Solanum lycopersicum: one gene and its partner. Each later gene encodes a partner of the first gene's protein in a complex. Links are inferred from orthologs where the notes say so. Each region holds a gene or a part of one and is shown in the gene's direction. Other genes may lie near its edges.

What was found. The genes of interacting proteins can lie anywhere in the genome.
Region 2: glutamyl-tRNA(Gln) amidotransferase subunit A, chloroplastic/mitochondrial (region 1) and glutamyl-tRNA(Gln) amidotransferase subunit C, chloroplastic/mitochondrial share a complex: the UniProt entries of both Arabidopsis thaliana proteins name them as parts of the heterotrimeric GatCAB amidotransferase (AdT) complex. The link is inferred for Solanum lycopersicum from reciprocal best matches to the Arabidopsis thaliana genes AT3G25660 and AT4G32915.

The regions. Positions count from the first base shown.
Region 1 is NC_090809.1:2,322,323-2,325,640, reverse strand, and holds the end of glutamyl-tRNA(Gln) amidotransferase subunit A, chloroplastic/mitochondrial, read left to right. Parts: intron 1-539; coding exon 540-615; intron 616-775; coding exon 776-853; intron 854-1,303; coding exon 1,304-1,397; intron 1,398-1,544; coding exon 1,545-1,594; intron 1,595-1,701; coding exon 1,702-1,815; intron 1,816-2,312; coding exon 2,313-2,405; 3' UTR 2,406-2,810; downstream 2,811-3,318. UniProt on the Arabidopsis thaliana protein: Allows the formation of correctly charged Gln-tRNA(Gln) through the transamidation of misacylated Glu-tRNA(Gln) in chloroplasts and mitochondria. The reaction takes place in the presence of glutamine and ATP through an activated gamma-phospho-Glu-tRNA(Gln).
Region 2 is NC_090806.1:68,144,524-68,148,902, forward strand, and holds the start of glutamyl-tRNA(Gln) amidotransferase subunit C, chloroplastic/mitochondrial, read left to right. Parts: upstream 1-1,472; 5' UTR 1,473-1,639; coding exon 1,640-2,062; 3' UTR 2,063-2,072; intron 2,073-3,923; 3' UTR 3,924-4,379. UniProt on the Arabidopsis thaliana protein: Allows the formation of correctly charged Gln-tRNA(Gln) through the transamidation of misacylated Glu-tRNA(Gln) in chloroplasts and mitochondria. The reaction takes place in the presence of glutamine and ATP through an activated gamma-phospho-Glu-tRNA(Gln).

The DNA.
Region 1 (3,318 bases):
TAAATAGTGCGGTGGAGAATATTATTTGCATCTCACCTTTCCTTCCCATTCCTCGGAGAAAATATTAACATACCGATAGAGAGGATAGATATCTTTGGATCTATAGTAAATTTGGCTACCATCATAGCTTCTATGCTGATGAATATGTTGTTATCGTTATAAAAATAATATAAGTACATAACAGCAGTACGATCTTCAGTTCTGATATTTCTTAGGTTTCATCAGCCCTAACCCTCAGTTTTGGTTGCCAAATTGAAGGAGGATAACTAAGTTCGTTCTTGTTAATTCTACCATTTAAAGAGAATAGAAAGTAGTTAGGAGTGCCCATGATGAGTTCAAACGGATATATTACTTTAATTACTCCATACTAGTCGCAAGAACTAAGAATTCATTGCCATTTCAAATACGTGGATACGCAACCATAATTTAGACAAGATGTAATTGGGGAGACTGCCTTACACTAGTAATGACAAACCTGTCAATGTTTGCTCAAATTTTTTGATTAAGACCCAAGGAATAATGTGATGTCAAAAATGCAGGTATGGGAAACAAGTTTTTGCTGATGAGTTGAACTCCCTTTATGGGGAATCTCGTGCCGGAGGCTTAGGTGCTGAGGTACTAAGGAAAAGAACTTTTCTGTGTGATGTAGTTCTGTAGTGGTTACTTCTAAAAGGGGTCTCCTACCTTTCTTTCTCGTAATCTTTTCATGCAAGCTGGCCCGCCAACACACAGTCAAAAAGAACTATTGGACTAAATGTATTAAATGTCTTTACAGGTGAAAATGAGAATCCTAATGGGGACATATGCTCTGTCTGCTGGTTATTATGATGCATATTACAAGCGAGCCCAGCAGGTTGTACATCTATGTGCTCAGAATAGTCCAACTCCACATAGCAATTAAAGTTTAAAATGCAATCACTTTCTTGATATACTCATGCATCTAAAGATAATTGATACTAATATAATCCAATCAGAACTAAGTAATATTCAATCACTTTAATGATTCTCTTCTGTATCTCTGAATAAATGCTTACACAAGACAATCTTCATGTTAGTTATTCATTGTGTCTCTAACCGTGAATTTGTGGATCCAAAATATTTGTCAAGTGGAGTTTAGATCATGTGTCTACATGGCAGTTAGAACCAACTACGTTTGGTTGACGCATCTAGTAGACTTTTTGCTACTCTCATCATCTAGCAATAATTCATATTTTAACGAGTTATATGACCCCAATTTACAAGTGTTCGATAATTTCTTGCTTATCTTAATTCTTCAAGATGTTAAAGAGTGACTCTGTTCCAGGTCAGGACTTTGGTAAGGGAAAGCTTCAGGGCAGCATTAGATGAGAACGATATTTTGATTTCTCCTGCTGCACCATCAGCAGCTTACAAAATTGGTACACTTCTTTTACCTTTTGCATTTACTGATGAAACTACTTTTCGATCTTGCTTAAATACATTTTTGTTTTCTTTTCTTTTTGTCCCATGATCCCCTTCCCTTGAAAGGCAACACTAACTCTCACTACGACATGTGGAATTTACAGGTGAAAAGAAGAACGATCCGTTGTCAATGTATGCTGGTGATATTATGACTGTAAGTAGTTTTTTTTCCTATTTTAACCCCTCTAGTCAGATGATGACGTAACTTGTTCAGTCTAGTTTATGTTCTCTTCAATTAATGATTATTTTCATTATTGGCAGGTCAATGTGAACTTGGCTGGTCTTCCAGCATTAGTTCTCCCGTGTGGATTTGTTGATAGCAGTTCTGTGGCCCTTCCCGTTGGTGTTCAGATGATTAGTGCTGCATTTGAAGAGGTGAGTTTCAGTACTCCAACTATTTCCAGTTGATATTCCAGTGTTAAGAATGATATTTGAGCACGGGGATAGTTCATGTTATCTAGATCTCTCTTTTGAGAAAGTTGAAAAGGTCGGTAAAAGAGGGATAACATACTTACTTCGCTTGAAAATGTAACCGAGTTGAACTTGAGCTTCTTAAATAGATGTATTGAATACATTCACTTTTTGTACGACCGTAGAGATGAAAAGTGTGGATACTATGAAAGCATAAATGCTCAAGTTTAATGCAAGCAAACCTGAAGAAGTAGAATATGATTAGAAAAGAAATAAAAACACCTAGTAGTTTAGACTTTTATAACCATTTTGAACCTTATCTCACACGGTTCTGAGCTATGTTGCTCGGACTCTCCAAAATGAACTACTTATATGCCTTCACTTCTTGCTTTTCTTTTAGCATGCTTGCTTGTATGCATCTAAAAGTTCGTCATATTTTACGCGTACTAAAATGAATGCAGGAGAAATTGCTTAAAGTAGGCCATATCTTTGAGCAGACACTGCAAGGCTGCTCTTTTATTCCTCCTCTAGTTGCTGATGAATTGGGATGCTAGTCGTGAATTCTTGCGCGCAGTTATGTTCCAGTTAATCAATGCAACGATTTCACGCAAAGTGACTGCAAAATAGCGCCATGGTGCAAAGCTCTGTGCTGACAAGAAGACGACAGGTTCGTCTATCTAGTATCAAATGATCCACCAATCCTTCCAGGCTCGTGCCACTGTTTCCAAACGAATCGTTACGTTCAGAAAACTTTCTTGTGCTGGATTTTTTTTGTAGGATTGGCGTGTAAAGATACGCGCCAATCGAAAATTCATAAGAACTCTCAATATCTGAGATACTTGTAGCTTATTGCAAGCAAATTCTTTTTGTAAATTAGCATGCATCAATTTTGAAAACTTTGATGTATACATTTGTCATCTTTATTTTCTGCAAAGTTGATTTCAAGTTTTTGCCCTTGATGCTCATTTGATGAAAAAAATTTGGTTTGATATGAGATATTAGTACTACTTGATATTCGGTATTTTTTTCGAAATTATTTACTTAATGAAGGTCATATATCAACAGGTCTATTACTCGTATAAAGTAAAAAAAAAAAAGTAGTTAAAAGACTAAACATAAACAACCTAAATACATATGTTTTTTTTATTTTTACTTGTGTCAATTATTTTTCTTGTTATCTTATTACTTGTGTTGATGTTCTATTATATTGTATCTCGACGCAGAAAAATAGAAATAATTTGAACAAGAGTATTAACATTGTAATATAATTAACTACAACTTTAATACGATGTTATCGAATATCATGTCAAATTAAAATTTGATTTATCAATTACCTAATTATCAAATTACGATTATCAAAAATTTTAAAATATCAAATCAAATATCGAACGCCCACTCTTAGATTATAACTTTCTTTTTTCCCTTTCGAAATCATCTCACGATTAGGTAAGAATTGAAAAGGAAAAG
Region 2 (4,379 bases), on another chromosome or scaffold:
CTTAAAATTCAAACTCTACCTCTCATAATAAATTTGGTATATAAATAAACTTGTGTATTATCACAATACGACATTACTAACTATACTTTTGGATTTCAATATTGAAGTTTTTTTTTTCCAAATTAAATAGTAGTATTTAAATAGCAAAGGAGAAGATATGGTTGAGGTGAATGAAGACTAAAAGAAGCAGCGATCCGAATTGTGATGTAATGATGAAACTGTTTTAATCTTAATCAGAAGTTTTTAGTTTTAATTACAGATATGAAGAAAATTTATTTGGAAGTGCCAACCCTTTGAAAGAGCCCTGTGATACATGGTCTAAATTTAATCAGAGCTTTAATATAAATTGTGATGCCGAACGAGAAATAATAATTATAAGAAAAAGTAGAAGCACATGATTACATACTAAGATATTTAATAATGAATAGTAGTAATAATTGATGCATGAAATTAATGGTTGTGCCTTGTTTTGACCAGACAATGCAACGGGTGAGTAGGACCAGCCCACATCAAGGGGCTTTAGTTCTATCTGTGTTTTTTGGTCCTACTAGGAATGGAAATAAAATTAACAAAATAATCCAATCAATTTTTAGGAAAAAATATATTTTTAATGTGCGAAAATTAAAGTATTAGAAAAAATATTTCGAAGGTAAAGGATATAAATAGTCATTTTTAGAATTATCACTGTGTAAAGAATAGTAGAAATTTTAAGATTTGACCACCTATAAGTCAAACATCAGAGTTTTGATTTTGATTATGGATATAGAGTTTCAAATTTGAGTGTGAGTTTAAATAACCAGAGATTAACTTCAAAGGACATTACTCCATAGTAAGTTGATAAAAACAAAACTTAAATGGGAAAATCTTAGTAACTCGGTTCAATGACTATTCGAATTTTCGTGTAGATACAATTTTCCATCTCACAATCTCCTCCCTATTTTCTTTTTTCCTACCCCCATTTTTTAAAAAAAAATAGAAGAAGAAAAACAAACTTAAATTTTCTAATTTATGAGTTGTTGTATGACATAAAAAACATTAGACTTCAATTGATAATATATCAACCAAGAAATAAAGTGTAGTTAATGAATTAAAGACAAATAGGTTGAACTTCAACCATTTACATATGAAATTAGGCTTAATTAGCTTTCAACTTTATGACATTTGGACCAAAAGCGATAAAGACCGTCAAATCTAATTCTAAACTAACATCTGAAGTTTGAATTGTAGTTTAATATTCAAAAATGATGAAGATTGTTAAATATAATTTTAAACTCAAACATCTGAAGTTTGAACTGTAATACAATATGTCAATCTCGTATATATAGGTTCGTAGTTAGACTCGAAAAATCAAACTTTAGACTCAAAACTTTCAACTTTAATCTCGTAAATTTGAATTTTTAATTTCGATATAGCTTTAAGATTCTTAAAAATTTGGGCTATTTGTGCACTTGCCCCTTAGCTTAGTTGATTTCAGCCCAAAATTTAATGGGCCAAAGCCCATGAAGATTGATATCTGAAGCCCAAATCCCTTTGTTCCAAAATCTGGTAATCCTAGACTTCTCACAGTGGTGCCGTCTTCCGCCGTCTGCCACCGTATACCGCCGCCTACCTCACCGTCTTCATTTTCCAAACGCCATCCATGGGAAGCATCAGTGCTTTGCATTATCTGAAACCAACAAGAACTGCCAATGGTACATCCTTGTTCAATTTCAGTAAAAATCGCATTTCCCGATTACCAGTGGCTTTTCGAAGCTACACCGTGAAATCGAGTGTTCTAGAACCTCCAGATGTTCCACGTTTGGCTGAAACTGCTCGAATTTCACTCAATCCACAAGAAATTGAAGAATTCGCTCCCAAAATTAGACAAGTTGTAGATTGGTTTGGACAACTTCAAGCTGTTGATTTACAGAGTATTGAGCCAGCGATTAGAGCAAATACTGAAGGAGATAATTTGCGTGGAGACGTACCGGAGAAGTTTGAGAATAGAGAAGAATTGATTTCTGCTGTGCCAAGCTTTGAGGACCCTTACATCAAAGTTCCCAAAGTCCTCAATAAGGAGTGACGTTGTTTAGGTACTTTTCATTTCATCACTCCATTTTTCTTTCCAAGATGTATTTTGATGCAATGTATAATTGTTTGGATCAGCTTGCATGCAACTCGATTAATTATGAGCTAATTTGAAAAAACCCGATCGAATTGTGCTATTGAAACTTCTTAACTTAGCAAAGTATTTCATATATGGTCGCAAATTGGATTTACCTACTTTGATTTGCTATACTCGAGTCGAGTGGAGGGTCTTTAGAAAGATTTTTTCTACCTTGTGAGACTCTACTGAATATGTTATTGTTATTGTTATCGTGATTAGAATTTTGATATGTTATTTAGTTGTTAGTAGGCATTGCTTATGTATGGGGGTAAGAATTCACGATAGCTATTTTCAAGTGATCATCCATACATTAACACTTGAAATATTAAAAATTGAAGCAAATGCATGAGATATCGTTGATCATTGTTTAAGGCTTTGCATCTCAGTTTGGTCATTTAAAGTCTCAAGAAGAAAAGGCGGGGGCGTATTGAGCAGTTCCTTGATGCTCCTCTGAATCTTGACAAAATGAAAGTATTATGGTTTCAATTGACATCTCCACAACTGCAAAGAAGAGAGTTGTCGCGACTTATCCAAGACACCATCACTCCTGCATTAGAAATAGGAATCAACCTTAGAGATACAAAAGAAAAGTTAGCCTCAAAGAGGTTTCATTATCCAGCTTCGAAACTCATAGTGGATGATTTATGCGTTCTATTTTTACCCTTCTCCATTAATACCAGAGAGACTTCACTAATCGTGATTTTAACTCTTTGTCATGTTATATGTTATACACCTCTAGTAAGGGGATCATTATCATGGGTCGGAAAGAGTCGTGTCCTAAGAAGTGTTCACCATCTCTGAAGGTTAACTAGTTATTTTAGAGCTGGTTTGGCCTAGCGGTTTAAAACTGCTTGTTGGCCAACCATCGCAAATTTCCAAAAAGGTGTTTCTTTCTCCCAAAAAGTAATTTGGGCTTCCAAACCGCTTGGCCAAACTGGCTCTTAGATGTCCTCCCATTCAAAGTTGATCTTGAAGACCCAAAACTCCCGGAGTTGGTTAAGTGTTATTTTCTTGCTGGTAAGCATTCAATTTTGGTAATCGTACAACTGTCAGTTGAATACGATTGCTAGAGCTTGAAAGTATCCTATCCTCACAGTTATCAATCTAAGTTGTCAGGCTACAGAACCTCATGCTTGAATCTTTTCAAGTGAATCATGTTCCTCATAAGTTATCAAGCTACAACACCTTGTGCACGTCCTTTAAGTCAAAACAGTGTCCATATTCATGGAAACACACTCATTTGAATCTCTCAACCATCAGCACAAGTACTCATCAAGTGATTTTTTCGAGCAGTTCTACTCTATGATACTATTGTGGAAGTTATATAGGTCTTCACTCTCTTTATAGCTCTCTATGTTGCATCATTTGAAGTGGTAATAGAAACTCCTCAAATTATCTGTGCTATTTGTTAGTTCTTAGTTCTGTGAAGTTGAAAGTTTACATCTGCTTAAATGGAAAATCCCATCCAAAAGAAATAGACTACAACTAGTTAGACAGATCAGGTGATTCAAGAAGTCCATATCAAAGCAGGAGAGTAGCCAAACTCAGTACTTGACTGGAGAACCACTATCACTTTCCAATCATACAATTTTATTATAGTTGTTGCCTGGTTTAGTCCCGTTTAGTTACTTTTACATTGCCAGGAGGCTGTTGGAGCGTTATGTCCAACATATCCTCCCTTCATCTGTACTGTTCCATGCTCATTAGCCAATGTCCAACATTCACACTGTTTCATGCTCATTAGCGTAATGTCAACACCCTCTCTTCATCTGTACAGTTCCATGCTCATTTTGGTAATGAAATCAAGTCTATTTACCAGACTGATACACACAGCTTTCCAAAGGAGAATAACATTGCCATTGACATTCACCTTCCCAATCCAAAGAATGTTACTGATAAATGTGATCAGTTGGAATCTCAGAAGACTTTGAACAGCCCTTTCCAGTTATCGCTATATCTGCAAAGCATCACAAGCACTATCATCTTGAAATTTGAAGCCATTAGAGATGGGAGAGGAGAGAATGTTCAAGAATTAACATAAATCAATTCGATTACAATTTTACGAGTTGAATTTAGTACTGGTAGTTTCGTTTTTCTTTCTCTACTTATATGAATATAGTCCATATTATTACAAAAGCAAAATTCTCTTCAAAATAGTGGTAGACTTGACTACTTTTTTCCATTTCATGTTTGGATAAAAAAACTTCATTGCTTCATTCTTATTTGTAGTTTG